Elephas maximus indicus: one gene and its partners. The protein of the gene in region 1 purifies or fractionates together with the protein of each later gene. This does not show direct contact. Links are inferred from orthologs where the notes say so. Each region holds a gene or a part of one and is shown in the gene's direction. Other genes may lie near its edges. The genes, in order: ACTB, PFN2, MORF4L1 and CORO1C.

What was found.
Region 2: the proteins of ACTB (region 1) and PFN2 purify together in Homo sapiens (affinity purification with mass spectrometry; 3 studies listed by BioGRID and IntAct, counting the BioPlex papers as one, with this or other methods). This does not show direct contact. The link is inferred for Elephas maximus indicus from reciprocal best matches to the Homo sapiens genes ACTB and PFN2.
Region 3: the proteins of ACTB (region 1) and MORF4L1 purify together in Homo sapiens (affinity purification with mass spectrometry; 3 studies listed by BioGRID, with this or other methods). This does not show direct contact. The link is inferred for Elephas maximus indicus from reciprocal best matches to the Homo sapiens genes ACTB and MORF4L1.
Region 4: the proteins of ACTB (region 1) and CORO1C fractionate together in Homo sapiens (co-fractionation; 3 studies listed by BioGRID). This does not show direct contact. The link is inferred for Elephas maximus indicus from reciprocal best matches to the Homo sapiens genes ACTB and CORO1C.

What each region holds. Positions count from the first base shown.
Region 1 is NC_064830.1:100,217,002-100,224,938, reverse strand, and holds the start of ACTB (actin, cytoplasmic 1), read left to right. Parts: upstream 1-4,696; 5' UTR 4,697-4,793; intron 4,794-5,844; 5' UTR 5,845-5,850; coding exon 5,851-5,973; intron 5,974-6,103; coding exon 6,104-6,343; intron 6,344-6,809; coding exon 6,810-7,248; intron 7,249-7,341; coding exon 7,342-7,523; intron 7,524-7,733; coding exon 7,734-7,877; 3' UTR 7,878-7,937. UniProt on the Homo sapiens protein: Actin is a highly conserved protein that polymerizes to produce filaments that form cross-linked networks in the cytoplasm of cells.
Region 2 is NC_064841.1:9,982,610-9,989,985, forward strand, and holds the start of PFN2 (profilin-2), read left to right. Parts: upstream 1-4,280; 5' UTR 4,281-4,357; coding exon 4,358-4,489; intron 4,490-7,121; coding exon 7,122-7,314; intron 7,315-7,376. UniProt on the Homo sapiens protein: Binds to actin and affects the structure of the cytoskeleton. At high concentrations, profilin prevents the polymerization of actin, whereas it enhances it at low concentrations. By binding to PIP2, it inhibits the formation of IP3 and DG.
Region 3 is NC_064831.1:68,715,246-68,723,157, forward strand, and holds the start of MORF4L1 (mortality factor 4-like protein 1), read left to right. Parts: upstream 1-4,699; 5' UTR 4,700-4,759; coding exon 4,760-4,799; intron 4,800-7,912. UniProt on the Homo sapiens protein: Component of the NuA4 histone acetyltransferase (HAT) complex which is involved in transcriptional activation of select genes principally by acetylation of nucleosomal histones H4 and H2A.
Region 4 is NC_064840.1:19,274,266-19,282,532, reverse strand, and holds the start of CORO1C (coronin-1C), read left to right. Parts: upstream 1-4,952; 5' UTR 4,953-5,062; intron 5,063-8,267. UniProt on the Homo sapiens protein: Plays a role in directed cell migration by regulating the activation and subcellular location of RAC1. Increases the presence of activated RAC1 at the leading edge of migrating cells.

The sequences.
Region 1 (7,937 bases):
GGTCCCAAGGGTTGCCAGAGCCTCCAGCTGGCCACCCACTCCAGGCAAGCTGTGGGGAGCCAAGGGAGGGGCTGGAAGAAGCGCCTGTAATAACCACAACCTTACGAGAGGGCCTGGGAAGCCAGGACCCCTGGCCGCCCCCGACCCCAGGCTGCCTGGGAGGCTCCCTCTCAGCTCTTTGGGTCTATCTGGATTGGCTCAGTTTCTCATCTGGAGAACAGGGACAATTGGCCCTATGGCCGACGTATTCAGGGACAAGAAGAAAGGAACCAGCTGATGTGTGTGTATGTGTGTACATGAGTACAGAGTACATGTGTATGTATGTATATGTGTGTATGCATATGCGTATATGTATCTGTGTGTGTCTAGAAGGGAAAGTACAGGGAGACTTTTTTCTTTGTCTGAATAATTGAATCAAATGAGCAAGGCTGGGAACTCCCCGGGAGGGCAAGGCAGGTTTCTCTGGGTGCCCTGGGGACTGCAAGAGAGAGGGTAGTTTTTAAGGATTTTTTCGAACTCTCCCAAGAAGCGTCAGCAGTTCCCAGTTTCTCTAGGGCAATGTCCCCCCTTGCCAGATGAGTGGCTGGGAGCAGGGAAGGCCCCGACTGTCCGGCACAAGGAAAGGCAATGTCTGGAGGCTTGGCCTAGGTGGAGTCCGTGACCCTGGCCATGGCCCAGCCCAGCCCTCCTGCCTCTGAAACCCTCCCTTTCTCTTCACCACCTCCTTCAGCTGCCTGTCACCTCCCCAGAGAGGCCCTCCCTGACTGTCCTTTGGCACAGTGATTAAGAGCTCAGCTGCTAACCAAAAGGTCAACTGCCCCCAAACCCTACGGGGCAGTTCTACCCTGTCCTATAAAGTCCCTATGAGTCAGAACCTACTTGATGGCAGTGGATTTGGTCTCAGGTTCTCCTTCTTAAGGAAACCTGTGCTTGCCCTCAGAGAGGCATTAGACTTGTTTTTCTTTGCTCTTTTGTTCGAGGTCTGTCTCAAGGATTACACTCATGATCCTTGCTCAGAACAGTGCCTAATGAACTCTGGAAGCCTGTCTGGCTGATCGGTGCGTGGGAAGCAGGATCAGTGTGATCTAGGAGGTGCTCCAGAGGAAAGGCCTTTCAGATTCAGCTCCTGGCTGTGCCCTTGCTGTGTGATCTTGGCTGGACTTCTTTGCCTTTCTGAGCAGGAAAGCTACTGCTATTCTGTCAGAGGAGGGAGGAAGTCATGGTAGGCTTCCTGGAGGAGGCAGCCCAAGAGGGGACACTGAAGGCTGAGGAGATCTTGGGCAGGAGGCAGAGGGACCCCCAGCACATGCTCTCCAGATTCCTGAGGTCCAGTTGCTCAAAGGGGTCTGGGTTGTGCCTTGAGAACATTCTAGAAACAGGGGAGATGGGGGCAAGAAGTGGCAGGAGAGAGCAGGTATGGGGCCTCAGGATGGATTGTTGTGTGACCAAGAGCTGGTGCTGTCCTCTCTGGTCCTCAGGAGGCAAGTGTTGAGGAGGGAAGGGTCCAGGAATTCAGCCTTTTGAAGAACCTTTGATCCAGGTCCCTGGGGACATTCCAGGGGACACTTTAGCCAGGGAGCGGCAATGTCAGAAGGAAGGTGAGGCTGCCACCTCTGGGTGCCTGGAGTTTGGATCCTTCACACAGGGGTGCCAGCCCTACGTGCTTTACCAGTCCTGCCTCAGTTTCCTCATCTGTAAAAACGAGATGTTTCAGCTCCTCCTTCACTCCAGCACTCAGTCACCCCTCACTGAGCACCTACTGTATGTGGGGTCTCTGCCCTACTGGAGCCAAAAGTCTAGAAAGGGAGTTCTCCTGCCCTGCTCAGCCTCCCTTCTCAAAAAAATGGAGCGTGGGACCCCCGCCTGGCAGTGGGGCTTCAAGGGAGTGGCCCCTCCATAGGCACTGTAAATGCTACAAGACACCGTGTTAGAGATGTCCCCTTGCCTGGGGGCCTTGCAGGGTGGGGGAATCCCTAGAGCAAAGGCATGGAGGTGGGACCAAGGCGCTGAAAGAAAAAGTACCAGGGGAGCAGGTGGAGTCTGCAGCGGCTGGGCCCCAGCTGAGGTCTTGCTGTGGCTCTGCCGAGACCTGAAGTCCCAGCTGTGAAACTCCCTGCAAGAGCGAATTTCCCAAGCTAAGAAGAACCTGTTCACTTCCTCTCTCCTGCCCTCTCCACCCCCTCCCTCCAGCTCTCCACTTCCTCTTTTCCTCTTCCTCTGCTTGCTTTCTCTCTCTGGCCTGTTTACTGGCCAACTGAGCGCCTCCCCCACCTAGGCTGGCTGCCCTAGCCCCCTCCTGCACCCCATCTCCACAGGGTCCTCTCTGAAGGCTGAGGACACCCAGTCAGATGCCACTCAGTTGCCGTGGAGTCCATTCCAACTCATGGCAATGCCATGTGTGTCAGAGAACTGTGCTCCATAGGGTTTTCAAAGACTGGTTTTTCAAAAATAGATTGCCAGGGCCTTTTTTCCAAAGTGTCTCTGGGTATACTAGAAGCCCCAGCTTTTCAGTTACAGCTTTTCAGTTAACCTTCTGCACCTCCCAGGGATTGAGGACAGACAGGTGGTCAATTTTTCATTTAGCAGAGTAGGCCCCTGGGGTGCATGTGGTGGGAAGTAGGGAGGCCAAGACCCTCCAAAGGTTCAGTTATAAATGTGGGCCCAGCACAGTGATCTTGTGTGAGAAGGAGGGTGTATGTGGACCATGCTAATGGGCTCCCCAAGGAGGGGTGTTCTTGGATGGGCCTTGCAGGATGCATAGGAGAGCAAAAGGAAGTGGCGGTTGCAGGCAGAGGGAGCCAGAAGGCCAGGAATGTTACAGCCTGAGGCGAGGTGAGCTGGAGTGCCTGTCACTTGACAGGCCCCTGGCTGGGTGCCTGGGCAGAGGCCTCTGAGAAGAGGCCAGGTAGAGCTCAGGACCCTTGCCCTATAGCTCTGGCCCGCCCCGCTTGCTCAGCACCCATTAGGCTCTGTGCACACAACGGGAGCACAGCCTCATCAACAGTGAGTGGAAAAGGTTGCCCCCCAGCCTGCTGAATCACAGGGTTGGCAGATTCTGAGGCGGCTGGCAAGACTCCTGCCACTGAGAGACACAAGGCCAGGGACAGGGCAGTCCAGCCCCCAGGGAGGGGAGGCAGGGAGTGGACAGGCTGAGAAAGTGCTCCCAGGCCTGGGCGGTAACAGTGGAGCAGTGGCAAGTCACCTGGCAGGCCTCTGGGAATGTGTGCATGGGGCTCGGAGCTTATGACCTCCTCTGTAAGCTGGGTGGTGGTCACTCTGTCCATCTTCATAGTGCTCTGCCACCTCTTTCCTGGCCACAGGTACCACACCCCTATGAGGGCTAATGGAGCCTTCATTTCCACACACATTCCCCAAGCACGTGCTATGTGCTGCAAAGCCCTGGGCAGACAGGGTGTCCAGCATGGACCAGTGGTGGCAACTAGTGTGTGCCCCTAGCTGGACCACCTTCCTGTTTTCTTCATATGCAAGTCCAACTTCTTGTCACCAGCTCCAGAAGGCCTGCATGCCTCCCTAGCCAGAGCCACATGCTACTCTGGGATCCCATGGCCCTGGGCTTCTGTCTGGACACACTGACCAAGATGTGGCTACCCAAATCAGGCTAGTAGCTCCCGGAACAGGGAAGTGGGCCACTCACTGCTGACCACCTGGAACACTCCTGGGCATAGAGGTCCTGCCCAGTGTTTGGTGAACAGACCCAGGGCAAGAAAGAGTGACCAGAGGCTCTTGAAGGACAGCTCCCACCACCACTGTCCCCCAGCTCCTCTCTGGCACAGGCAGTGTCCCTCCCCAGTGTTCTTTGCAGACTCCAGATGGTCCAGGTAGGCAGCTCAGCTGTAGCTACACATGACAATGGATGGTGACCCAGTCCTCAGGGCTGTACTGAGCCCAGCAGGGCCTAGCAGCTGCTCGGCCACCGGCTAACGGCCCTGGTCTGGCCTGGGTGTGCCCAGGCAGCCCTCAGAGGCAGCCTGGCACCATGGGAACAGTTTCCTTGCTCCATGGAGCCCAAAGCCTGTGGCTGGGGTGGCTGGGAGACTTCCGCACAGTGAAACCTTGGGGTCCTGGGGCCTGGGCCCTGAGGTCCTTCTAAGTGGCCACAAGCCCCCTGACTCCCCCAACCCCTACCCTCAGCCCCAGACCTCTGAGTAGGGCCCCCCTGCTCCGTAGCAAGCTGAGCATTCCAGCCAGAAACCCCCAGCCCGTCCAGGCAGTTTCGCTAATGTTGGCAACGGGCAGTGACCCCTGACTGCCCCCACCTCACTTCCCCTCTCCCGCTGCTCCTCAAGCAGGTGCCCACAGCAACCAGGCCTCTGGCAGTACCCAAGCTGACCCGTGCCAATCGGGCGTGCACTGCTCATGTGACATCCACACCCCGAGGGTCCCGGATAGGGGGTGCGGAGAGCGGGGCAGGCGGTGGCCCAGGGCGCGCACCCTGGCCCACGAACCCAGCACCCAAGGGCGGCCAAAGCCAAAACTCTCCCTCCCTTCCTCAATCTCGCTCTCGCTCTCTCTTTTTTTTTTTTTGCAAAAGGAGGGGAGAGGGGGTAAAAAAATGCTGCCCTGTGCGGCGAGGCCGGTGAGTGAGCGGCGGGCGGCCAATGAGCGGCCGCCGTTCCGAAAGTTGCCTTTTATGGCTCGAGCTGCCGCAGCGGCGCCCTATAAAACCCGGCGGCGCGTCGCGCAGCCACTGCCGAGACCGCGTCCGCCCCGCGAGCACAGGCCTTTCGCCACCGCACCGCTACCGCCGCCGATTCACACCCGCCACCCCAAAGGTAAGCCCCTGGCCGGGACCCCGCGCACAGTGCCCCCGCTGATGGCGGCCCCGTGCACAGTCCCCCCGCTGATGGCGGGACCCCGCGCACAGTCCCCCCGCTGATGGCGGCCCCGTGCAGTCCCCGCGCTAATGGCGGGGCCCCGCGCACAGTCCCCTCCCTGATGGCGGCCCCGTGCACAGTCCCCCCGCAGATGGCGGCCCCGTGCACAGTCCCCCCGCTGATGGCGGCCCCGTGCACAGTCCCCGCGCTAATGGCGGGACCCCGCACTCAGTCCCCCCGCTGATGGCGGCCCCGTGCACAGTCCCCGCGCTAATGGCGGGGCCCGCGCACAGTCCCCCCCGCTGATGGCGGGACCCCGCGCACAGTCCCCGCGCTAATGGCGGGACCCCGCGCACAGTCCCCGTGCCCTCTTTCTGGGCAGCCAGCACCCCTTGGCCGGGTTGCCTTGGTGTCTGCCCACAAACCGCGGCCCCGCGACAAGTGAAGACCCGGGAACAAGGGCTTGGGAAGCACGGCCCTGAGGGGTTCAGTGGTCGGGGTTGGGGAGACCCAGCCTTTGTCTGAGCGGGCAGGCTGCTTGCTGCCAGCCGCCTGGCTAAGTGGGTGGGAGCGCGCGGCGGGCCCAAGCCGGGGCCGTGTGGGGGCTGGGGCGCTACTGCGCGTGCGTCCGGCAGCCGCGAACGCGGACAGCGCGGGCCGGGCCTGTAGGGTGAGGGCGGGGCGGCCGTCCCGGAAGGGGTGGGGTCGCAGCAGCCGTGAAGGCGGCTGCGCGCACTTAACTCCCTCCGCCCGCCGAGGGTGTGGCCGCGCGCCCAGCCGGGTTTGAACGGGGCTTGGGCGGGGCCGGCGTTCGGGGGGCGGGGCCTGGCCTGCGGCCGTTGCCGAACAACCTTTGCCTTTTATGGTAATAACGTGGCCGGCCCGGCTTCCTTTGTCCCGAGGCCGCGCGCCGGCGCCCCCTGGCGGCCCGAGGCTGCCGCGCGCCGGAAGCGGGGAGGGGCGCAGCGGGCGGGGCGGGGGCGTCCTGCTCATAGACTGCTCCCCGCAGTTCGCCATGGACGATGACATCGCTGCTCTCGTGGTCGACAACGGCTCCGGCATGTGCAAGGCCGGCTTCGCGGGCGACGACGCCCCCCGGGCCGTCTTCCCTTCCATCGTGGGGCGCCCCCGGCACCAGGTAAGGCGACAGTCTATTCGAAGTGGGTGGGTGAGTGGGTGGGGCTCTCTCTTGGGCGCGGCCCCTGGGACCTTGGGAAGGCCATATGGGCGGGGGTCAATGCTGACTGCCTCCTGCCCTTCTTCCGCAGGGTGTGATGGTGGGCATGGGCCAGAAGGATTCCTATGTGGGCGACGAGGCCCAGAGCAAGAGAGGCATCCTGACCCTCAAGTACCCCATTGAGCATGGTATTGTCACCAACTGGGATGACATGGAGAAGATTTGGCACCACACCTTCTACAACGAGCTGCGTGTGGCCCCCGAAGAGCACCCTGTGTTGCTGACTGAGGCCCCCCTGAACCCTAAGGCCAATCGCGAGAAGATGACCCAGGTCAGTGGCCAGATGGGGTCCTGTTGGGTGGCATCCGCCACCCTTTTTTAACTTTCTCCACCACGCTCTTTCTCACTTGTCCTTCTTTCTGCCGTTCTCCTAGGAGTCTCTTCTCTGATCTCAGTCTCCTGTGGAACTGTACAGGTTCTGTTTGCCTTTCCCCAGACGCAGTCTCTTTCTGGTGTTTGTCTCAGTGACTAGGTGTTTTAAGCCTTTAGTGCTGTGGGTGTAGGTACTAACACTGGTTCTATGCCAGAACCAAGAGGCTGGTGTAAGATGGCCTCAGAGTGTGTATTCAGTAGGTGCACAGTAGGTCTGAACTGAATCCTCATCCCCACCCCCAGCACTCTTAGCTGTGTTCCTTGCACTTTCTGCATGTCGCTGGTCTGGTCTGGCTGTTCCCTCCCCTCTTGGGTGGGCAGGGCCAGCTTCCTGTGCCTGACAAGGCCTCATGTCTTCCCCACAGATCATGTTCGAGACCTTCAACACCCCCGCCATGTACGTGGCCATCCAGGCCGTGCTGTCCCTGTATGCCTCTGGCCGTACCACCGGCATCGTGATGGATTCCGGCGATGGGGTCACCCACACTGTGCCCATCTATGAGGGCTATGCTCTCCCCCACGCCATCCTGCGTCTGGACCTGGCTGGCCGGGACCTGACGGACTACCTCATGAAGATCCTCACGGAGCGAGGCTACAGTTTCACCACCACGGCTGAGCGGGAAATTGTGCGTGACATCAAGGAGAAGCTCTGCTACGTTGCCCTGGACTTCGAGCAGGAGATGGCCACGGCGGCCTCCAGCTCCTCCCTGGAGAAGAGCTATGAGCTGCCTGATGGGCAGGTCATCACCATTGGCAACGAGCGGTTCCGCTGCCCCGAGGCCCTCTTCCAGCCTTCCTTCCTGGGTGAGTAAGCTGGGCTCCTGGCCCCTGCCCTGCACAAGGGCCAGGTGTCCCTGCAGCAAAACTAAATCTAGTCTGCCTTCCATTTTCTTCCAGGAATGGAATCCTGTGGGATCCACGAAACTACCTTTAACTCCATCATGAAGTGCGACGTTGACATCCGCAAGGACCTCTACGCCAACACAGTGCTGTCCGGCGGTACCACCATGTACCCGGGCATTGCTGACAGGATGCAGAAGGAGATCACAGCGCTGGCACCTAGCACAATGAAGATCAAGGTGAGTGTGTGTCCAGTCACATGAGTTGGGAGACGGCCACCAGTTTGTTGGCCATTGTGTGGGATGGTCCCAGTGGTTGTCCAAGCGGTCGTCAGCCATCTTGGCGTGTGGTTCCCTAGGATGTTCAGGAGGCTTTTCTGTCACCATGTGCCAGTCCCACAGGGCCGCCACATCCCAGTTCTCACACAGATTGTCTGCTTCTCTCCCCAGATCATTGCTCCTCCTGAGCGCAAGTACTCAGTGTGGATCGGCGGTTCCATCCTGGCCTCGCTGTCCACCTTCCAGCAAATGTGGATTAGCAAGCAAGAGTACGATGAGTCCGGCCCCTCCATCGTCCACCGCAAATGCTTCTAGGCGGACTGTCTTTAGTTGCGTTACACCTTTTCTTGACAAAAACCTAACTTGCGCAGAAAA
Region 2 (7,376 bases), on another chromosome or scaffold:
AACTCTGATATGTTACTGGTAAAATGGCATGACCTCTCTGGAATGTTGTTTGGCAGTATCTACTATTTACTAAACCTGTACCTAAGTGCCAGCAATTCCACTCCAAGGTCTATGCTTACCTGTGCTCACCGAAAGATATGCACAAAAGTCTCCAAAGTATCCAAATGCCACCAACTGGGAAACAGATGAATCAACTACAGTGTAGTCACACAGTGGAATATTATATAGCAACAAGAAAGAACACACTAGTGATAAAGAGGTCAGTAGTTAATGATAAAGGCAAAATTCATCAGAGAGAAAATGTAACGACGTCAACTTGTATGCACTTAATTAGCCTCGAAACAGAAAGCAAAAATTCACAGAATTTCAGAGAAAAATTGACAAATTGAAAATTGTAGGTACTACTGTTCTTTCTTATAAAAATCATACATAAAATAAGCGAATAAACTCAAAAGGTGACATTTGTATTAGATTGCATGAATAGCTGTGATTTTTCTCTATTTTTAAAACTTTCTTGGCTGTTGTGGGATTACTTTTATAACGGAAACATTTTTTCCAAAAATGAAGTGTTGGAGTGAGTTTATTTAATTATGGTTTTATTATAGTTTGAGCAATTATATTCTACAGTTTTAGTTCCTACCACAATATGTATCAAGTTGAGTACATTTTAACAATAACAACTTAATTTCTTGTTTCTTTATATTTTGCTGAAATATCAAATGATTTATTCATGAACTTACATGGCTCAGGCACTATTTGACCTATACATTAAACAATCTGGTATGCTGAACTGTTTCCGTTTTACTAAATAAGAATAAAAAATTTTGGAAAGAATGCATAATAATGTACCCCAAATTTAAACATACTGATTGTTGATGGCTAGATCATTCTGGGTATATGTATCAACAAAAGAGCCACAATTTTTCTCAGCTTTTGCCCAGACGTTGCTATTATTGTTGAAAAAATTAGAGAAAAATGCTGTGTGCGGTCAAGTTGATTCCAGCTCATAACGACCCTAGAGGACAGAGTAAACTGTGCCACCATGGCTCCTTTAGAGAAAGACACAGGTTGGTAACTCATTTTCTAATATTGTTACCACTTTGCACTTGTTACCAAAACCAAACTCATTGCCATCCCTTTGATTCCTACTCACAGCGACCCTATAGGACAGAGTAGAACTGTTCCACAGTTTCCAAGGCTGTAATCTTTATGGAAGCAGACTGCCACAACTTTCTCCCGTGGAGCGGCTGGTGGGTTAGCAGACCTTTTGATTAGCAGCCAAGCACTTAACCACTGTGCCTCCAGGGCTCCTTTGCACTTAAGTTACAGGTTTGTGATTCTTTTTCTATAACTGATACTCCTTTGGACTTAAGTGGAGCCCTGGTGGCGTGGTGGTCAAACACTGGGCTGCTAGCCCAAAGGTTAGTGGAGAGTTGGTTTACGCCCACCAGCAGCACCGCAGGAAGAAGATGTGGCAGTCTGCTTCTGGAAAGATTACAGCCTTGGAAACCCTATGGGGCAGTTCTACTGTGCCCATAGAGTCATAATGAGTCAGGAATCAACAGGACAATGACTTTTTTTTAAATTTTGTTTTAACTTATATTGCTATTCTTTAGTCTCAGTATTCTACCTCTACATATATTTTTTGAAACATGTTGTGATAAGCAATAAGTTATATGAAATAGGAAGTGACCACTGTATAAACCAAACCAAATCCATTTCCAGCGGAGTGGATTCTGACTCACAGTGACCCTATAGGACAGAATAGAACTGCCCCACTGGGCTTCCAAGGAGCAGCTAACAAATGGTAAATAAGGCACATTCCAGGAAGGAAACTGATCTGGCTCTAGGGAAAACAAGCACAAGATGATTTTATCTGAGTGCGAAAACAGACGGTAAATGGACTCTGAATATATAACATAAAAAAACTAAAGTGTAAAATTCAGTTAGTCTATTAAAAAAACAAACCCACTGCCGTGGAGTCGATTCCGACTCACAGGGACCCTTTAAGACAGAGTAGAACTGCCCCATAGAGTTTCCAAGGAGCACCCAGGGGAATCAAACCGCCAACCTTTTGGTTAGCAGCCGTAGCACTTCACCACTACGCCACCAGGGTTTCCACTAGCCTATCAGGCAGAATATATTTTTCATAATTGTTTAAATTTTACTGTCATTTTGAGAAAATAACACTATGTTGGAAATGTAAAACAGTAATTTTAGAAGGTACTGTTGCATTTTGAAAAATATAGAAAAAATAAAGACAGGAATTCTAAATCCTTACGAATGCTTTACCTGACGTGTTTTAGAATCTTTTGAGGTGTGTATTTTCTTATGCTGTTTAAAGCCAAGAATTAAAGAATAAAAATGAAATGTAGTTATTTCTCACTTTTTGATGTAACAATAGTATAGTGTTCTTGGAATGAAATCTTAAAAACCTTCAGGCTCTATTAATAAGTAAAACTCAATTTCAACGTACTTCTTTAAACTATCATCACTATTATTTTTCTTTTCTGTCATTACTTTTTGATTAAACTTGTTGATTATATACAAAGTGCCCAAATCATAAATGTACTGCGTGATGAATTCTCACAAAATGAATATATCCGTGTTAACAGCACCCTGTAACTATTAACTTTTAAGGTGATAAAATGTTAGAATAAAATCCTAAAACCATCATCAATCACAAAAAGGCAGAGGAGTTAACAAGACCAAGTAAATGTAATTAAATCAGGTGGAAGGAACACTTGCAAAAATGAAACATTTCTGCACACATTTCATACCACCTAGGTATTGTCTTCAGAACATGAGAAAATACAGTCTCAATCTGATAGGTCCCTGATTTGGGGTTTAACCTACTGCTTTTTTTTTTTTTTTTTCCTTCTCCCTGCAGTAGCTGGACATTTCAAAGCCAACAGGAGAAAAACACAAATTTCAGAACCTATTAGATGGACTAGCAACGTTCTTTTCTTCCTTCTCCCGAGCTACATTCTTGTAATTCTCCTGTCACAAATGGTGACCTTACACGATAACTTTCAAGTTCGGCATCAACTTTTCAACGTTTTAAAGTTGTTCTCTTTCACTGGCACGTGAAAACTGGTGCCATGGTTGTGGGACGTCGCTGAATTCCGCGTCTAATCGTAGCGAAGACGACGAGAGGCCGTTCCCAGGGGCTCTGCCCACCGCTAACCTTGTAAATACGAGCCTTTCTCAGGTCTGGGTCCTGAAATTATTTTACCCCTCAAGAGCAGAAAAGTCGCTATGTTCATTTAGTGGGTCCTTTCCTAGATCTTTATTCTTTGTATTTTCAGCCATTGCCTCGGCCCACCCGTATCATTCTCCGTTTCCAAAAAACAGTTTATATAGGTCGCTATTGGCTTTGTTCGGAATTGACAAGTTATTCGACCACAACTGACTAGTAACATCAACAGGGCTCTTCCTGGCAAAGAATCTCAAGAACGCGAGGCCCCTTTTACCTAAAAGAGGCAACAATGAAGGACCCACAAAACTCAGCAGGGTCCCCAGGAGCCTCCACGCCTGCGCCGACTGCAGCTTTCCGGGGCGCCCGCTGGGTACCTTTCTGAGCGAGGAGCAGAGGGATCTGGGAACCGGGTCCCGCGGGGGACGCCTAGGGGCGACCCTGCCGCCAGCCGCCCCACCACAAAGGAGCGTAACCGCCCCGCATCGCGTCGCCAGGGCAACGCTGCAACCCGACTCTGACGCTCAAGAGCCCGCATCCCGCACCGCCGCGCGCGGGAGGGCGGTACGGCCAGGCCCGGCCGCGGGGACTCCCGGACATCCCTGCCGCCGCCGCAGGTGCTGACCCCGGGGCGCTGAGGGCAACCGAGGGGACGCCCCCGCCGCCCCGGCGCCAGGCTCGGCCGCCGCCAGCGACCCCGCGGACGCCGCCTGCACGTGGCGGCCGTGATTGTCCCGGGGCGGTATCCCTCCGCGCGCCGCCAGCCCCCTCCCTTCCCGGGACCCTCCGTGTCGGGGCGCCGCGGAAGGATCGCACGTACGCGCGCACACACCCCGCCGCGGCCGCGAGGGTTGAGGGAGCCGCGGGAGGAGCAGGCGCGGCCGCTGTCGGCACAGCCACTCCGCAGCCTCCCGCCGCTGGTTAGTCAGCCCGCGGCTGCGGCGGGCGGACGGCGGGCGGCCGAGCCGGGCGCGCCCGCGGCTCGTCCCTCCCCGGCGTCCCCGCGTCCTCCTGCCGCAGCTCCTCGGGGAGGGGGGCGGTCGGTGCCTGCGCAGAGCCGCCTCCTCCCCGCCCCCGCCCCGCCCCCCCCGCCGCCGCCGCCGCCGCCGCCGCTGCGCTGCTGCTCCTCGCCGTCCGCGCTGCAGTGCGAAGGGCTCGAAGATGGCCGGTTGGCAGAGCTACGTGGATAACCTGATGTGCGATGGCTGCTGCCAGGAGGCCGCCATTGTCGGCTACTGCGACGCCAAATACGTCTGGGCCGCCACGGCCGGGGGCGTCTTCCAGAGCATTACGGTGAGGACCGGCGGCGGCCCGGACCCGGACCCCAGCAGGGCCGGGCGTCGCAGCGCGGGGCCGGCCGGGAGGGCCGCGCCGGAGGTGTGCGAGGCTCGGGCGCCGCGCATGCAGCCGCGGGGCTGGGGGCTCGGGGGCCGGGGTCGGGAGGGCCGTGCCGGTAGGTGTGCGAGGCTCGGGCGCCGCGCATGCAGTAGCCGGGCTGGGGGTGCGGGGGCCGGGGCCGGGGCCGGGGCCGGGGCCGGGAGGGCCGTGCCGGCAGGTGTGCGAGGCTCGGGTACCGCACATGCAGCAGCCGGGCCGGGGGTGCGGGGGCTGGAACCGGGGTTGGGAGGGCCGTGCCGGCATGCGTGCGTTGGGCGCCGCGCGTGCAGCCGCCGGGCCGGGAGTGGGGAGGCCGGGGCCGGGAGGGCCGTGCCGGAGGTGTGCGAGGGTCGGGCGCCGCGCATGCAGCTGCCGGGCCGGGGGTGGGGAGGCCGGGGCCGGGAGGGCCGTGCCGGAGGTGTGCGAGGGTCGGGCACCGCGCGTGCAGCAGCCGGGCCGGGGGTGGGGAGGCCGGGGCCCGGAGGGCCGTGCCGGAGGTGTGCGAGGGTCGGGCACCGCGCGTGCAGCAGCCGGGCCGGGGGTGGGGAGGCCGGGGCCCGGAGGGCCGAGCCGGAGGTGTGCGAGGGTCGGGCGCCGCGCGTGTAGCTGCCCGGCCGGGGGTGCGGGGGCCGGGGCCGGCGGTCGCCCGGGCTGCGCGGACAGGCGGGGGCGCCGGCGAGTCCCTGAGCGGGTCGGGGTGCCGGGGGGGAGGGGGGCACGCACCGGCCGGGCTGGGGACGCCTTCCCCCCCCGGCGCGGCGCCCTCGGGTCCCCTACAAGCTCGGGGCGGCTTTGCACGTCCGGGGGGGGAGGGGGGGGACGCGGGGGTCGGGGCTCCGGGCCGGGGCGCCCCGGGCCCGGGCGGGGTCCCCCGGTGGCCGGGTAGCCCCTCGCTTAGCGGACCTCGCGCCGCGGCGGGCTGGGGGAGGCGGCGGCGGCCGGGGCCCGGGATCCTCGAAGCGACTTGGCGTGGACGGTCGGAGCCCTGCACGCCGAGCACGTAGGTGGGGCCGTGAATCCCGACTGGGGCTCCGGGTGTATAGGTTGTCTTTTAATTCTCCAAGATGGCGAACTGCCATTGATTTCTTTCCTCCTCCCGCGGAGCCTCATCGATACACCGTTATTCTCAGTTACGCAACAGAGCTCCGGAAAGGGGGTGCTTGGACGGGGGGCTTCAGTCATCTGGGAGCCCGGGGAACACCTTACTGCCCCCAGTCCCTCCCTCCTAAGTCAGGGCTTTAAAGGAGCTCATGAAGGTTTATGCTTCACCCTGCCTGCGCTTCTTGTGACTTGATGGTTGTGACTTGGCTGCCCCATGTTTGGGGGAATATTTGTCACTAAGCCTCCGGATCTGCCTATTGTGTCGCCTGTTTCTGCCCCAGGCTCGTCCTAAAATTGTGACGATGGTGTCAAATAACGGGCCCATTTCTTTCATTTCTTAGTCTCCATTCTCCGTTCCCAGCAAACACCAAAATTCAGGTCCCCCTTAACGGGTGCCACTTATCCTTCCTTTGCTGCTTCACAGGGTTTAAGGTCTGATTGTGTAGACCTCCGCCTTTGACACGAGGACTGTCGGGTCTCCTGTGCCCATAGGGAGCTGCAGTTCTCCCGGAGGACTGGCGTCTGGCGATCAACTTTTCCTGCAGTCCTCCTGTCTTTGTGTGGGAGTTCCCGCTGTCTGGCTGGGGAGATGGCCCGAGTGTGCTTGGAAATGGCTGGGGCCTGCCATGACTCTGCAGTTCTGATGGGGGCGACGCCTTCCTTCTTATTCATGGAATGTTAGCATGCTCCTTCTCTCCTTTCGGGTCCTGGGGTCTACCTCGGCTTCTTCCCCATCTCCCTCCATCATCTCTCTTTTACCGTCACCTCCTGCGGCGCTGCAGACCGAATCCTCCTGTCCTTTGCCGGGAAAGAAAGCTGATTACTGAAGTGGGAGGGGAGGGGAAGGGAGTAGAGAGTAGTGGTTAGAAAAACAGCGACGAGGGAAATACGAATTTGGAGAGGCGCTGAGGTCAAGCGATAGAAGCTCCTATTGTGGGGGATATTTCAAGCTCTCCAACGGAGAGAGGCAAACAGATCTCTAGAGCATGGGCTTTATTTTGGGAGACTGTCAAGCAACTTTAAATTTGGTGCAACATGATTGAGTGTAGTGTGACCGAAAATGATAGACAAACTGTTGTTGAAAGCTTTTGTGGCTGAATCTTTACCGTTACACAGACACCTTCAGGCACCACCTCACTTGATGTAGTTTGTAATTCTTAAGTTTGTGGAGGGTCAACTACCAATTAGAGAGATTCTTTGTGTAGACTGGTCTTTAGCTAGCAGACCATTGTTAACTGTGAAATCTGAACTACTGTAAAACATGTAACCAGGTAGGACTAGATAATTTTTTAGAAGACCGAACCTTGGTTTTGCTTTAGTGAAATGTGGGTGTCTTGTGGCAGTAGAACTTTGGCACACCATCCTTCCTGTTATATTGAGGCCTGAAAGGAATTAATTACAACTTCATGTTTTTTGTCTGTCTGTTTTTGTTCTTTTTTGGGGGCAGCCAATAGAAATAGATATGATTGTAGGAAAAGACCGGGAAGGTTTCTTTACCAACGGTTTGACCCTTGGTGCAAAGAAGTGCTCGGTGATCAGAGATAGTCTGTACGTGGATGGTGACTGCACAATGGACATCCGGACAAAGAGTCAAGGTGGAGAGCCAACATACAACGTTGCTGTCGGCAGAGCTGGTAGAGGTAAGCAGGGTGCTCTGTTGGAAAACTGCATGCCACATTACAACTTACTGAGCACTTCCGTT
Region 3 (7,912 bases), on another chromosome or scaffold:
AAATTTAACCCCCTCTGTCTCTTAAATACCAGTATTCAATAAAGCTCTCTTGCTGCTTACCTCCTCCTGTCTCAGTATTGGCTTTGCCACAGGCGGCTGGAACCCACAATTTGCGGTAACAATATCCCAAGACTTCATGCTCAATTAATTTATAAAGGAAACATTTTAAGGACGTGTGCAAATTTCTTGTGGTCCGGTTTATTCAACAAATAAATGGCAAGAAAAAGAGACAGAGAATCAAATGAAATGTGTGGACCTTGTTTGGAACCTGATTTGAACAGCCAGTCTTAAAAATCATGTATGCGGCAATTGGGGGGATCTGAATACTGACTGGATATTTGAAGATATTAAGAAATTGTTTATTTTTATATGTAATAATGGTATTGCCTTAAAAATGTTCTTATTTTTTAGAGATACATACTAAATTATTAATGGATGAAATAGACATGATCTCTGGGATTTGTGTGTATTTATATTTTGGGAGGAAGAATGGGGGAGTACCAATGAGATAAGACTGGCCATGTGTTGATAATTGTAGAAGCTGAGTGAAGGATACACCAGGGTTCATTTATACTATCCCTTCTACTTTTGTTTATGTTGAAAAACTTCCATGAAATGAAATACCATTTGATAATGCAAAAACAAAGTGTCTTAAACGACTTAAACCAGTCATCAAACTTAGCATCACTAATAATTGGACAACTAGATATTATGTGCCTTCTTATGTTGACAGCATAATGTATCATCTATAGTGGAGCCCTGGTGGTACAGTGGTTAAGTGTTCAGCTCCTCTCCCAAAGGTTAGCAGTTCCAATCCACCAGCCGCTCTTTGGAAACCCGATGGGGCAGTTCTACTCTGTCCTGTAAGGTCACTGTGAGCTGGAATTGACTTGAAGGCAATAGATTTGGTTTTACACAATATTCAGTCAACAAAACATTCAACTTGAATCTAATCAAGCCTTTAGATCTAACTTTCGGTTTATAGGAAATACAATGGAGAGAGGTTATGTAACATCATGAGTAAATGATCAGACAAATCCAGAATGTCAGCTAGTCAAAACGCCAATGTCACGAACAGTTATTAATGCTACTACTAATAAAGTGAGGGGGAGCACTTTTTGTGCCAAGGACCCTGCTTAGGAGTCTGATGAAGCCAATGAACTCTTATTCAGAATAGTGTTTTTTAAATACACACAATAAAAACAGGATTTATAAAGAAAATTATATTGAAATATGATTATCAAAAATATTTTAAAATGTGATATGGTGGTATGGTAATATATATGCTTAATTATTAATGCATTAAATAACAAGAACTAGCGGGAAGTCTAGTAGCTACTTACTAGTTTTTAGTTATTTCAAATTAGTGATAAACGTAAAATACATTTGAGATATCTGCAATAACCGTAACATACTATGAAAACATCTATAATTTCTATTGGTGACAAAGCCACAGGTCCTGCTAATACTGCTGTAGTTTGGTACCTTTATTTAGAATGAAAAATTAGATTTTGGTGAAAATAAAGAGGTGAATTTTTTCCCATCTAAGTTCATGGACCTTCTGTATTATATCCATGGACTCCCAGGTTAAGAACCTCTGGTCTAGGTTTTAAAAGATTAAAGAGGTCTGTAATGTACTATCATTTAATGGTTCTTGTTTTGGAAAAAACAAGCAAACAAATATAAAAATATTTTGTGGACAATTAAGGAAATCTGAATACGGAGTGAGTTACATGATTTCAGAGAATTATTGTTAATTTTATTTGGTGTGGTAACAGTATTGTGGTAATTAGGAGAACGAATGCCTTTATATTTTGGAAACGCATACTGAAGAAGTCAGGCATGAAGGGGCATGATGTCTTCACATACACACACACAGCGCACACACATATAGGAAGATGTTTACAATTCCTTTATGTTGAATCGAGATGGTAGATACTGTATTATTCCTTTTACTCTTCTGTGTGTTTGGAATTTTCATAATAAAAAGTAAAAAAAAAAGTGACTTTACGATCTTTTTATTGAGATATAATGTAGATATGGTCAAGTGTATTCACTGTAAGCGTATAGGTTGATGAATTTTTACAGAGGTAAACACCCGTGTAAGCATACTAGCTCAAGATCTAGAACATTTCCAGCACCCCAGAGTTCCCTAGTACCCCTTTCCCAATCAACCTCCCCTTCCACCCCAGTTAATCACTGTCCTAATTTCTATCAGCACTGATAAAGAATATACTCTTTTGTGTCTGGTTTCATTTGCACAACATGACTTCTTGATATATTAAAACAAATTTTTAGAGATTGATAATACCACATTTGGCAAGGATATGGGAAAACAGGCTCTGTCTTAAATTGCTGGTTGAAATGTAAATTGGTGAAGCGTTTCATAAGGCTGTTTAAAATACTCACATCCTTTGACCTAGTAATTTTACATCTAACCCTTTGCCCTTAAGTCGATTCCGGCTAGGGGTCCTAAAACAATAAAAGCAATGTACATGAAGATACAGACTCAAAGGCATAAGTTTCTAATAGTCAAAAATTGGAAGCAACATAAATGTCCAGTAACGGAAATGAGGTTAGATAAATTATTGTATATTTACACTATGTGTCATGGATTGAATTGTGTACCCCCCAAAAATATGTGTAAACTTGGTTTAGGCCATAATTCCCAGTATCGTGTGGTTGTCTTCCATTTTGTGATTGTAATTTTATGTTAAGGGGATTAGGGTGGGATTGTAACACCACCCTTACTCAGGTCATCTCCGTGGTCCAGTGTAAAGGCAGTTTCCCTGAAGTGTGGCCTGCACCTTTTACCTCTCAAGAGATGAAAGGAAAGGGAAGCAAGCAGAGAGCTGGGGACTTCATACCACCAAGAGAGCAGCACCGGGAGCAGAGCGCATACTTTGGACATGGGGTCCCTGCGCCTGAGAAGCTCCTTGACCAGGAGAAGATAGATGACAAGGACTTTCCTCCAGAGCCGACTGAGAGAGAAAGCCTTCCCCTGGAGCCAATGCCCTGAATATGGACTTGTAACCTACTAGAGTGTGAGAAAATTAATTTCTTTGTTAAAGCCATCCACTTGTGGTATTTCTGTTATGGCAGCACTAGATGACTAGCACACTGGACTGGAACCCTTGGTGGTGTAGAGGTCAAGAGCTGCTGCTGCTGACCAAAAGGTCTGCAATTCGAATCCACCAGGCGCTCCTGGGAAATCCTACGGGGCAGTTCTACTCTGTCCTATAGGGTTGTACAGGGTGGCTATGAATCGGAATCGACTGGACCGCAACGCGTTTGGTTTTGGGGTTGGTTTATACTATATGTCATGAGGTATTAAAGGTGTGAGATACAGCTATATATATAATTGGAATGACCTCAGGCCATACTATTAATTTAAAAAAGAAGACGACCCAGAACAATATGTGTAGTCCACTTATGGTAAAAGAAAAAAAAAAAAAATTGGGGCTGAGAAAGATGTATACACCAAATAGTGGGGAAGCAAACTGGGGAAAGTAAAAGGGGCTCCTTAAATTTTGTGCTGTATTCTGTATTTCTGAATTCTTACATCGTGTACAAAAGCCATGAAAACAAGGATTTGTATAAGGCCTCTAGATAAGCTGGGAACTGTGTGTGGAAGGAAATTAATCTCCAGACTAAGGATTTTGGGATATATCCTCGAGTTAATGTTTAATGAGCGCTTATTCACTGTTTTTTTTGGGTGTGTGTGTGTTTTGTGTTATTCACTGTTAGGCACGCCGCTAAGCCTTTACGTGCAATTCTCATAATAAATCGGTTGAAAAGATGCTATTATCATTCCCATCTTGTAGCTGAGCAAACTAGGTACTGGGGAACGACATGGGGAAATCCGTTTGTTTAGACTCTGTGTATTTTGAATAAGACTTGCTCAAAGCAATTAGGTGACAACAAATGGCACAGATGATAGGGCAGGTGCAGAACCCCGAATTTGGCGGTGTTTGGTATTACTCACTTTAGAGTTTTTTGGCGGGCACAAATCCATTGATCTCAAAAAGCCAAAGGTCGATCCCCTAGTCTGCCTAGTGTTTCCCACTTCATCTTCTTCCTCATTGCCACAGGAACAGGGCTGGAGAAGAGGGGGCCTGGCTATCAGCTCCACCGAATATACCATCAGTGATCTTCCAGACGCATACCCTATTTCCCACCCCCTTCCCGCCAGAGCCCGTAAAGCTTTCCTACTACTCTGGAAAAGCTACTGAAAGTGAGTTTCAGGGGCAAGGCTACTGCAACGCCCACATCATTGCAGCCTCATTTTGCCCATGGGATTTAGCCTTTCCCATTCTTTTACTGTTGGTGGTCCCCAGCAACAACACACAAAATCAAATCCAGGCTTTAAGAACTCCGGATGGGCCAGGGGATGGAGAATGAGAGGCGGGAGGTAAGGAACGGGTGGTGGGGAATAAGAAGCGGGGGATGGGGAAGGGAAGAAAGAGACACCCGCCCCTCCCCCCACTCCGTCGCGACTCAACTGACTTGGAACTACCAATCCCGGCGTGCCCCGGGACGGCGCCGGCGCAGGAGCGCGTGCGCGGCGGGCAGCCGTTGGCTGAAGCTGCGGCTGCGCTGGTCGCGGTGCTGTGAGGTCTGCGGGCGCTGGCAAATCGGGCCCAGGATGTAGAGTTGGCGGTGCCTGACGGCGCGTCTGAGGCGGAGTTGGGTGGGGTAGAGAGTAGGGGGCGGTAGTCGGGGGTGGTGGGAGAAGGAGGAGGCGGCGAATCACTTATAAATGGCGCCGAAGCAAGACCCGAAGCCTAAATTCCAGGAGGGTGAGTCCGTTTTTTTGGGGAGAGTGCATCTAACGGCTCGGGAGAGGGAGGCGGGCTTGGGATGGTTGAGGTTTGGGGGTCGGGGGCGGTACGGGCTGCCCCCCGAGAAGGCGTCAGGCAGTGCTTTGTGCAGGCAGAGCGCATTGCGGAGGACAATTTTCGTGCGTCATTGGGGAAAAAACGCTCTGTGAGACGAGTGGGAGAGGGAACGCTTTGCGCGTGGCAGAACCTTAGTCAAATGTTTGTTATTGTTCTGAGGAAGAGCGCGGGGAAAGCAGCCTATTGTAGGGAGGCGACGGATGCGCCATGGCGGCCGTTAGGGGAAGTGATGTGGCGTGGGGGGAGGGGAGTTAACGGCGGTCGTTTTCGGGCGCTTTCGCGGGGATGCCGGCTGCGTGGGCGGCCAACGGCAGGCAGGCCGGGCTGCTTCGAGCCCCGAGGTGGTCGCCTTCTGTGGCGACTCAGAGGTGCGGCAGGGGGGTGGGTTTGGTGCCTCGGGGCGGGAGAGCCGCGTTGTAAAATGGCCGCTGCAAAATGGCCGCCCCATCATGGCCGCCGGCGTCTCGGCCGGGCCCGCAGAAGCTGCTTAAGGGCAGCTGCAGCGCCCCCATCCACGACAACCATAAGCGTTCCCTACCGCTTACCTCAGCGAGGTGGGTGGGGACAAAAAAAAAAAAAAAAAATAGCTTTTTCCTCTGCTTTGTGTTGCCTGAAGGCATCACTTTGCTTTCCTAAGACTGGAGTGCCAAGATTGTATATGAGTGTGAGTGTGCGCTGTTGCTGTGCAGTTGCTCGTTAACACAAAATGACTTTAATGCGGTGTTACTGATGTTTCCATTTATAATAAGTCTCGTTGCCTTGGTGTCGTTTTTAAAGCAGCAGGTATTTGACTAATTGCAATAACTTTTGATTAACAGTGATTGGGAAGTTGGATTTTTTTTTTTTTTTTTATCAATTGGCTTTTGATGGACAAGTGTTTTGGCTGGCGTTAGAACCTGATCTCCAGTGGTAGACAGCTCTTTAATTTTCACAAACAACACATCTACCCCAAACCAAGTATATAGTATTTTTAAGGACTGTTTAAGTTTCCAAGGGTACTTTTGATGAATATTGCTACCTTTTCCCATCTTGAGAAGCTAGCTCTACCGTACCTCTTACGGATTTATTATCTTACTAGGTGCTTTAGAGCAAAAATGCTTAATCTAGGTTCAGTTTATGGAATTCAGAGGGTCCGTGAACGCGGACGGGGGAAAAAATCTTTTTTTTTTTTCTACCTTCTAACTAAAACACTTAGTATTTCAATTATGAATGTAGACCCCCTGAAAACAAAATACCGATAGTAGTATTAGCAGTAATATGACTTTGTTACCAATAAAAATCTCAGATATTTTCATATCCTAACATTACAGTTCTGGAAGATATCTTTAGACATCATGTATGCTCCCCATTACTTCAAAATTATGGTAATTACTGGATCAACAGCTAAATTTTGTTTATTGCATTAAGGAGCACATATAATACCACAGAACATAATATTTAAAATATTTGGTAACTATTTCAGTATAGTTGGTTTCCTTTGTAATACTTTGTTCTATGCGTTTAAAAACTTCCTAAGCCTGTGAGGGGCCTGTTGTAGGATATGGAAAGAGGAAAACGATTGAGGTCTGGCAGTCAACGATGGCTTTCTGGAGGAAATGCTTTAGTTCTAAGCTTGAGAGATGGTGGAGTGAAGTGGATAACAGCAAATAATGTGTGTATTGCTATAGTGGTGGATTGGAGGAGAGTAGGAACCAAGGTTAGGACAGGTAAGGTTTTGAAAGTTAGGCCGGTTGTCTCTGCACTTACCGTCCATTACTTTTCCAGGTGTGTTTTCTACTGAAGTCAATACTGAATCATAGAATCATCTTTAAGAAGTTATACTTATTTATGAAACATGTTTAGAGGGTTTTGAAAAGAATATTAATGCTAACAATTACCTTGAAACAGTGGAAAAGTTCAGTTTATGAAGTAAAAAATAGGGATATGAATTATGAAAGTGTGGAAATAGCCTTTTTAATTGCTTTTCATGATTCTTGAAGGTTTCTCGTTTAATAAAGATACAGAGTATGTTATGTAAGCAATTTCTGAGCACAGTGACTACTTTGCACTGGACTTGGTCTTCCACTTGAATGTCTATTAAAGCACAGGGTAAAGGAAACTTAGGGGTCCAGCCCATTGTCAGGGGTTAAGAGACTGGCAGATGATGGCATGAGAGCAGTGTTCTTAGGAAGCACAAACCAGTAGGAGGATGGGGAATTGGAAGCTCATCAAGCTTGAACTCGAGCATTGGGTAGAATTTCCCTTGTAATTTGATGCTTGAAAGGATGAGGAAAAAGATGGAGCAGAGGAAGGCATAAGAAATCACATCCGAATGGTGTTTTGCTCTTTACTCAATTACTAATCTGTTGCCATGAAAAACAGCCATTTGTCATCATGTGTCATACTCCCTAGCAGCTCTGTATTTTGTTCTCAGCAGAAATACAGGACTAGGTAGGAGGTCATAAGACCTTAGCCTTAGTGTGATTATTTTTGGCAGCAGCAGCAGCCAAAACAACAAAAAACCCTGTGATAGACCCATTTTCAGAACACCTTTAGAGTGCATCTGAAGAGAGAAATTAGGAAGCAGATCTGATCTCTGGTGCTGCTGCTTATTAGCACTATAGCTAATCTGTATCCCCACGTTAAATTGCCCACAGTACTCAGTGATGATTCCAGCCCAGCTCTCCTTGGCTTCGCACATGTGCACCTGTTCATGAGATATTTCCATTTTGGAGGTGCTGTAGGCACTGTTACATAGTCCAAAGTTGATCCGAACCCTGCAGCACCCATTTCATGTTCTGGTTAATGCTCCCACTAGCCTGAGAGTCTGTCTGAATCTTTTTTGTTTTTGTCTTAACTGTCCTTTACTCCTTACTGCTTTTGGCTTTGGTTCAGACGCATTCAAGTTCTTACCCCTGGACTGTTGGAGAAGTCTTTGACTGGTGTCCCTGTTTCCAGTCACCTTTAATTCAAGCTCTGCATGTCGTTAGTTGCCATCGAGTCAGCTTTGATCACGGAGACCTTATTTATAATAG
Region 4 (8,267 bases), on another chromosome or scaffold:
TCAGAAGTAGATCGCCAGGCTTTTCTTCTGAGGTGCCTCTGGGTGGACTTGAACCGCCAACCTTTAGGTTAGCAGCCAAGTGCTTAACTATTTGTACCACCCAGGGACTCCTGGGAACAGTAAAACCAAACTTGTAGCCATCCGGCCGATTCTGACTCTTGGTGACCCCATGTATTACAGAGTAGAACTGCTTCATGGAGTTTTTCTTGGCTGTAATCTTTACGGAAGCAGGTTACCAGGCCTGTCTTCTGTGGCACCACTGGGTGGGTTTTAACTGCCAACCTTTCGGCTAGTAGTTGAGCACTTAACTGTTTCTGCCACCCAGGGACTCATGAGAGCAGGAAAGGACTCTCAAATTCAGCATCTTACCTGGCCCCAAATCCCACCATTTGGGACAGAGCCAAGGTTACCTTCAGACCCACAAAGGGGTTGAGGTAGTGTCATGGACTGAATTGTGTCCACCCAAAATATGTGTCAACTTGGTTAAGCCATGATTCCCAGTACTGTGTGGTTGTCCTCCATTTTGTGATTTTAATGTTATGTTAAAGAGGAGGTGTAGCACCCTTAACACCCTTACTAAGGTCATATCCCTGATCCAATGTAAGGGAGTTTCCCTGGGGTGTGGCCTGTACCAACTGTTATCTTACAAGAGATGAAAGGAAAGGGAAGTGAGCAGAGAGGGGGAAACTCATACTACCAAGAAAGAAACACCAGGAGCAGAGCTTGTCCTTTGGACCTGGGATTCCTGCATGAAGCTTCTAGTCCAGGGGAAGATTGAGGACAAGGACCTTCCTCCAGAGCCAACACAGAGAGAAAGCCTTTCCCTGGAGCTGACGCCCTTAATTTGGACTTCTAGCCTACTAGACTGTGAGAAAATTAATTTCTCTTCGTTAAAGCCATCCACTTGTGCTATTTCTGTTACAGCAGCACTAGCTGACTAAGACAGGTGGATTCTAGAACAGCGAGATGCTGGGGTTTACTTCCAGTAAAGGGTTATTCAATTTTCCTGCTGCTTCTAGGAGTAGCAGCTCTCAGCTGACCACATTCTGACAGTGGGGGTGGGGGTGTTTAGGGAAAGTGGCATTGCTTCTGGCTTTGGTACTGTCTGCAAGAATTACCTCTCCAACACAGAGACAAAACGAGGCACTGAAACACACAGCTGTAAGGCAAAAGTCTTGCCATTCTTCTTTCTCCGTGTATTTGATGACCTTCGTGATGGTGTCATCTGGGAGGAACTAGTGTCATGGGAAATCGTACTTCTAATTTCATCATTTAAGGAACTGGGGAGAAGGGAATCAACATGTTTTAAGCACCTACTATTTTATGGCACTGGGTTTTGGGGTTATGTGCTGGGTGGAAACCCTGGTGGCATAGTGGTTAGGAGCTACAGCTGCTAACCAAAAGGTCGGCAGTTTGAATCCACCAGGCGCTCCTCAGAAACCCTATGGGGCAGTTCTGCTCTGTCCTATAGGGTCGCTGTAAGTCAGAATCGACTCAACGGGTTTGGTTTTTGGTTTATGTGCTGGGCATAAGAGTCCTTGGGTGGTACAAATGGTACAAAGTTTGGCTGCTAACTAAAAGTTCAGAGGTTCGAGTCCACCCACGGACAACTTGAAAGAAAAGTCCAGTAATCTGCTTCTGGAAAATCAGCCACTGAAAACCCTATGGAGCACAGTTCTACTCTGACACACATAGGGTCACCATGAGTTGGAGATGACTTAATGGCAACTGGTTTGGTTTTTTTTTGGTATGTGCTGGGCATAGTGCTGGGTGCTCACCATGGGTTAACTCATTGAATCTTTAAAACCACCCCATGACTGAAGCATTTGGATGACTCCCACTTTACAGTTGAGAAGAGTAGGGTCCATAGACTAATGTGATTTACCCAAGGACACCCAACTGATAAGTGGTAGAACCTGAATTTAAATCCAGCTCTGTCAGCATCCAAAGTCCATGGCTTTTCTATTCCATCACGCTGTCATGGAGGCAGTTGAGTGTAACGACAAAGAGCGCAGTACTGCAATTAGATGGAGGCGGGTTCCGGTATTAGCTCTGCCTGGTTCAAGCTGTGTACCTTGGGCAAGTCATTTAACTTCCCAAATCTCAGTTTCTTCACCTATAAAGTGGGGATTAATAATTTTTTCTATGCCCGAGACTATGGCTCCTGGACACCCGGCTAACTCAGAACTGAAGCCACTCCTGAAGTCCACCTTTCAGCCAAAGATGAGACCAAAACCACAAAAACCAAACCCATTGCCATCGAGTCGATTCCAACTCATAGCGACCCTATAGGACAAAGTAGAACCGCCCCATAGAGTTTCCAAGGAGCGCCTGGTGGATTCGAACAGCTGACCTTTTGGTTAACAGCTATAGCTCTTAACCACTCCACACCAGGGTTTCCAAAGATCAGACAGGCCTTATAAAACAAACAATAACACACATGAGGAATGTGCTTCTTAGTTCAATCAAGTGTATGAGACCAAATAGGCAGCGCCTGCCCAAAACCAAAGATGAGAAGGCAGGAAGGGATGGGAAAACTGGAACTGCCCTTCCACACGGAGAACCCAGGGTGGAAAGGGAAAGGAGGAGAGTGCTGATACATTGTGGGGATCGCAACCAATGTCACAAAACAATTTGTGTATAAATTTTTGAATGAGAAACTAATTTGTGCTGTAAACTATCACTTAAGACACAATGAAATTAAAAAAAAAGAATTGTTTCTATGGCCATAGGATTGTTGAGGAGTTTTCAGGCAATTTTGTATGTGAAGCGCTCAGTGTAGCACCTGCTTCTATAAGTCATGAATAAATACTAACGATAATTTGTCTCTAAAGAGTAAACCAGATTGGTTCCTGGTTCAATCTCAAAGAGCTTTATTAACCCTCATTTCCCCCCAAACCAATCAGAACCCACTGCTATCAAGGCACCTCGTTTAATTAAGGATAAGAATCATAACGATAGCAAATTGTTTGCGGGTGTTAGGTCCTTTACCTCTTTATCTCATTTAAATGAAGTAAGTGTAAAATCTTGTGCAGAAAGGGGGCCCTGTTTTTTTTAATTGTACTTTAGTTGAAGCTTTACAGAACAAACGAATTTCTCATCAAACAGTACACACATCGTTCCATGACATTGGCTAACAACCCCACGACATGTCAACACTCTCCCTTCTCAACCCTGGGTTCCCTATTACAGCTTTCTTGTTCCCTTCTGCCTTTCAGTCCCTGCCCCAGGGCTGGTATGCCCCTTTAGTCTTGTTGTGTTCCATGGGCCTGTTCAGTCTTTGGCTGAAGGGTGAACTTCAGGAGTGACTTCATTACTGAGCTGAAAAGGTTTCCGGGGGCCATACTCTGTGTTTCTCCAGTCTCTGTCAGGCCAACAAGTCTGGTCTTTCTTTCTGAGTTAGAATTTTGTTCTACATTTTTCTCCAGCTCTGTCCAGGACCCTCTATGGTAAGCCCTGTCAGAGCAGTCAGTGGTGGTAGCTGGGCACCATGTAGTTTTACTGGACTCAGTCTGGTGAATGAGGCCCTGTTTTTTTGCAGTGGCTACTTGAAGGCAAAGTGAAAGCCACCTCTCCATAACAGCAACAGTAGCAACAGGTACCATTTCTGGTGGGCTTTCCCAAGCCAGGCACAAAGATGATCTCATGGAATTCTTTCCACAATCTTGCAAGGGAGGGACTGCTATTACCCACCCCACCCCCCCATTTTTACAGATAAAGAAATTGAGGAGAGGATAAGTAATTTGCTGTGAAAGTGATTGGTAGACGTTTTGGTTTAGGTGGACACATGTCCCTCCGAGGCTGATGTTTAAAATGAGAGTCCCAGTGTCAATGGCAAACATGCCTGGATTTGGGAAGTAAATAGCCCTAACTCTCAGCAGTTGTTTTGTCAGTTCCGTTCCTCTTGCCCAACTTTCCCAAACCTGAAAGGGACTCTGGCTATTGACAGACAACTTCCTCAAGCTAAATATTAGGAAAGGGCCCTGGTGGTGCAGTGGTTAAGCGCTTGGCTGAGAGGTGAAGGGAACTGCCCCAGGTCACACAGTCTGACAGGTGCAGAGCTACGACTGGAACCAGCTGAATTTCAGGCCAGAGCAGACAAAGTGAAGGACTTTGGCCAGGGAAAGGAAGGGAGGGAGCCTGGAACCTCTGTTTTCTCACCTGCGAAACGTGGTCAATAACAGAACCTCCTGTGTAACTGTGGGGGGTTAGGTGTGTGTGGCCCAGCCCAGGGGCTGCCAATCTGTACTAGGAATGTGGGAGTGGGAGGTGGAGGGAGGGCTGGAACTTTGGCTGGAGGGTGTGAAGGGAGCAGGGGCGGAGCTTCTGAAGCCAGAGGCGGGGCTTCTAGAATTCGGGGCAGAGGTCGGGACTCTGGGATGTCGCGAATAGAATTCCGGATTTGTGGGCGGGGCTTCTGGAAATCGGGGTGGGGAAACGGTGTTTAGTGGCGCCCACGAGTGAGTTCTAAGGCCATGGGCAAGAAGTCGGGTTAGGGAGCCAAGAAGCTGGCTTAAGGGTTTTTGATGTGCAGCGGGCGGGGCTCAGAGAAGCTGATGTTCGGGTTTTAAGGGACTGTGGGTGAATCCTTGCGGGGCCGGAGGGTCCTGGCCCTTCACAGCCTCGCGGACCGATGTGCGGAGCTGTAAGAAGCCTGCGTCGGCTTCTTTGAAGCAATGGGCGTGGCTCGGAGGAGCTTGTGGGCGTGGCCCTGCGGCCTCTTCGATGACTGGTGGGCGGTGCTTACGCTTGGACACCGCCTTCCTCCGGGCCCCACCTACATCCCTCGGCGCGACCAGAGGTGGCGCTAGCGGGCGCGGGGCGAGGGGTGGGAAGCGGGCTTCCCCTCCCGGAAGTGGGCGGGGCCCGCCCCAGTTTGGCGGCCCTGGTTGGGCGCGATGCGGCGCGGGGGCGGGGTCTGAGAGCGGCAGCAGCGGCGGCTGCCCGCGCCCCTCCCCCGCGCGGCGCTTAGTGCCAGGCGGAGGCGGCAGCGGTTAGAGGCTTCGCCCGGCTTTGCAGCGGGGACTTCGGCGGCGGCGGCGCCTCAGGCACCTCGGCCCTGGTGAGCGGCGCGCGCCCGGTGGGGCCGCTCGGGAGCGAGCCGGGCACGGGAACCGGTCCTCGCAGCATGTGCCGGTGCCGGCTGACAGGAGTCGGCGGGGCGTGGGGCAGGGCCCAGTGGAGGGGAGCGGACTGGGGTCCGCGCGTGGAGCGCGGATAGTCGGATCGGGGTCCGCCCCGGCCGATGTGCAGGGGTTAGGGCCGGGGGCTGCTGCGGGAGGCTGGGGATCTGGATGAGGGGAGGTTTGGGGAGAGAACGACTTGGCCTGGGGAGAATGGGCCCGGGTCCGTGTGGGGAGGGGGCCGCTCAGGGGAGGCTTTTAGGGGTTCAGGACCTTCTTGGCCGAGGGAGGGGTGGGGGCTAGTGCGGAGGGGGCTGCCCGAGGGAGGTTTCAGAGGAGTCCGAGACCCCCCTCGATGGGTGAAGTGCTTGGTGAGGAGGGGCCGCTTGCAGCTGGGGAGCAGGGCCCCGAGGCGCCAGGCCTGGGGGCGGGGTTTGAGCCGCCCTAGGGAGCGAATGGGTGGGGGTGGGTAGGGACCGGGCTCGTGTGGGGCCGGCGCGAGGGTGGCCCCCGGGTTTTGGGGGTCGCCGGGCTCTGGGTGCAAGATCAGCTTTGAGCCCTGAAGGTCTGGGGTAGGGGCCCGGGAAGGGCGGGGCAGGGCTGGAGCTGGAGTAATATGGGTGGGGGCGGTTTGGGAGGAGGCAGAGCCGGACCGAGGGATCCGAGGGCTGGGGCTGGCGGGGTGGAGGGGGCGGGGGCGGGGGCAAGAGGAAGACCGGAGCAGGGTCGCTGCAGAGTGGGGGGTCTGGGGCGGAGAGTGAACGGGGAGATCCAGGGATGTGCTCCCCTCTTAGTGGGGCAGCTGGAGGGAGTAATCAAAAGGAGCGGGGGGCAGGTGGGGCTCCGCAGCGCCCCAGTGACTGAGCATGAGGTCAGATGTTGAGGGTGAAAATGCAGGAACCGAGCCCTCCCGCCGTCCACACCGGCGCAGGCACACCACCAGCTCTCTGTCTCTCCAGTGATTTGAATGTGTAGGGGGAAGCCGCAGGCTGCGGGGAGCGAGCGGAGAAGAAAGGGGCTTCCTCTTAGAGGGAGGCACAGGCCCTGCGGTCCTTTTTTGGGAGTGTTCAAAGGGTTTTCAGCGCTGGAAAAGGAAATGTAGGCTTTAACTGCATCATGGTTTAGGATCACACCCTATATTTGGCCTTAATGTAGGCTGCCCTTGTTTTGTGGTGTCTGAAGTGCTTGCTCTACGTGTTGCAAACGTGGGATTCACAGTGAGAAGCAAATTGCAAGTTGTTCATCTACAGGATAGCCTTTCTTTCCCATAAGACATTTTAAAGGAATCGAATTTAGTGCGTGTTTTTAAACTGGTACTGGGTGGCACATATATTGACTTTTGGAAATAGTTATCACAGAATACTAGATCCTCTTAGCACAACCAACCTTCCTGCCTGGGCTTACGTTCTAAAACAGTGCTTGTAGGGCTCTTAGTCACTCTATATAATAATGCATCTCATTGTCCTTATCTGGCAGAAATCCCTCCTGACACCAGGGCCTGCTGGAATAGACAGGAACATGGTTAAGTGTAAGCAGTGGCTAATACATGTCTGTTTAATATTGATTCACTCTCTTCATTCCCTACAAAACTGAAGAAAGCCCCTTTTGGACATGAGCCTGTACATTTAAGAAGGCTGATTTACGGAAACATTTATTTGGCGTGGAGATATGTTCCAGTCATAATGTTAGGATATGAAGCCTAATAGTAAGCACTGGAGCTGAGCAATTGCATAAATTGATAGGGAAGAAAAAAGTGAATTAATACAGAGAAATATACAGTACATTAGACCCTGAAGTACACTATTTTGTGGTAGGTGATAGTCACGTACACTGAGGATTGAACAAAGGTGGGTCATACAAGCCAGGAACACACCTTTTTTCATAAATCCAAAATGTGCCTTGTCTGTGTTTGTTCTTGAGTTCATGTTAACGGTACATTAAAGCCTAATGAATTTTAATAGACACATGCTAGTGAAGGAGCTCTGGTGGCGCAGTGGTTAAGTGCTCGGCTGCTAACAGAAAGGTCAGCAGTTCAAACACACCAGCTGCTCTGTGAGAGAAAGATGTGGCAGCCTGCTTCAGTAAAGGTTACAGCCTTGGAAACCCTATGGGGCAGTTCTGCTCTATCGTATAGGGTTGCTATGAGTTAGAATCAACTCAGTGGCAATGGGTTTGCTTTTTTTTTGGTGGGGGGAGGACATGCCAGTGAAATATCACTGCACACGGTATGGAATTTTTCATGATCATTTATTACTTTGCCTATAGATGACACTAATCAGCATTTATGTCTTTTACTGTCTGTGTAGTTTAGGATTAGATGCAGGATTGGCAAATATTTTTTAAACACTGTTGGATTTTTTAAATTTAAACTGTAGGCTTAACGCATCTGTCACTTCTGGGATCTGCTCCAACCATGAGGAGCAGAGTTGCTCTAATGCCTGTGAAATGGAATGTCCAAAAGGATAAATGATTAGTTTTTAGTTATTATATGCCTGGGAATGTGAAAGCTTCAATTCTCATGATTGCAAAATATTTGTTTCTTAATATTTTACTTTGTCACAAACTGCTGCTTTAGAAACAGGTATTGTTAGTTAGGCTGTTTACCTTTGACCTCTTTTGTGGGTGGAGCAATAATAAATTTGGGTACCACTTTTCATATTCAGGGCGCAAAATCATGTGATAAAAACTCTTAAGCTTATTTTCCGTTTGATACCTTCCTTTCCCTGAGTTCCGAAAACTCTTTTTCTGACACTTCTGGGAAAGTCCTTTTTAACTTAAGATGCCTTTTCTGTATTAAAACAGGAAAACCTCATGAATATTTCAGTATGACCTAGTACCTAGAATGTTAAGTAATTGAATCTCTCTGGGTTTTCATTGCCCTAGTTCAGATCCTTTAAAGTGAGTGAGCAAGATTCTATACGCCGTTCTGAGAGCTGACTCTGTATTTCAACAGTGCATAATGAATGTTTTTAAAACAATAACAGCGTTATTGAGATACAAGTCATTCCTTACAATTCACTCATTTAGAGTACGAGTCAATGGTTTTTAGTGTATTCAAGATGTCTCCAGCCATCACTACAGTCAATTTTAGAACATTTTCACCATCCCTGAGAGAAACCCCATACGCCCCTTCCCCACTCCCTC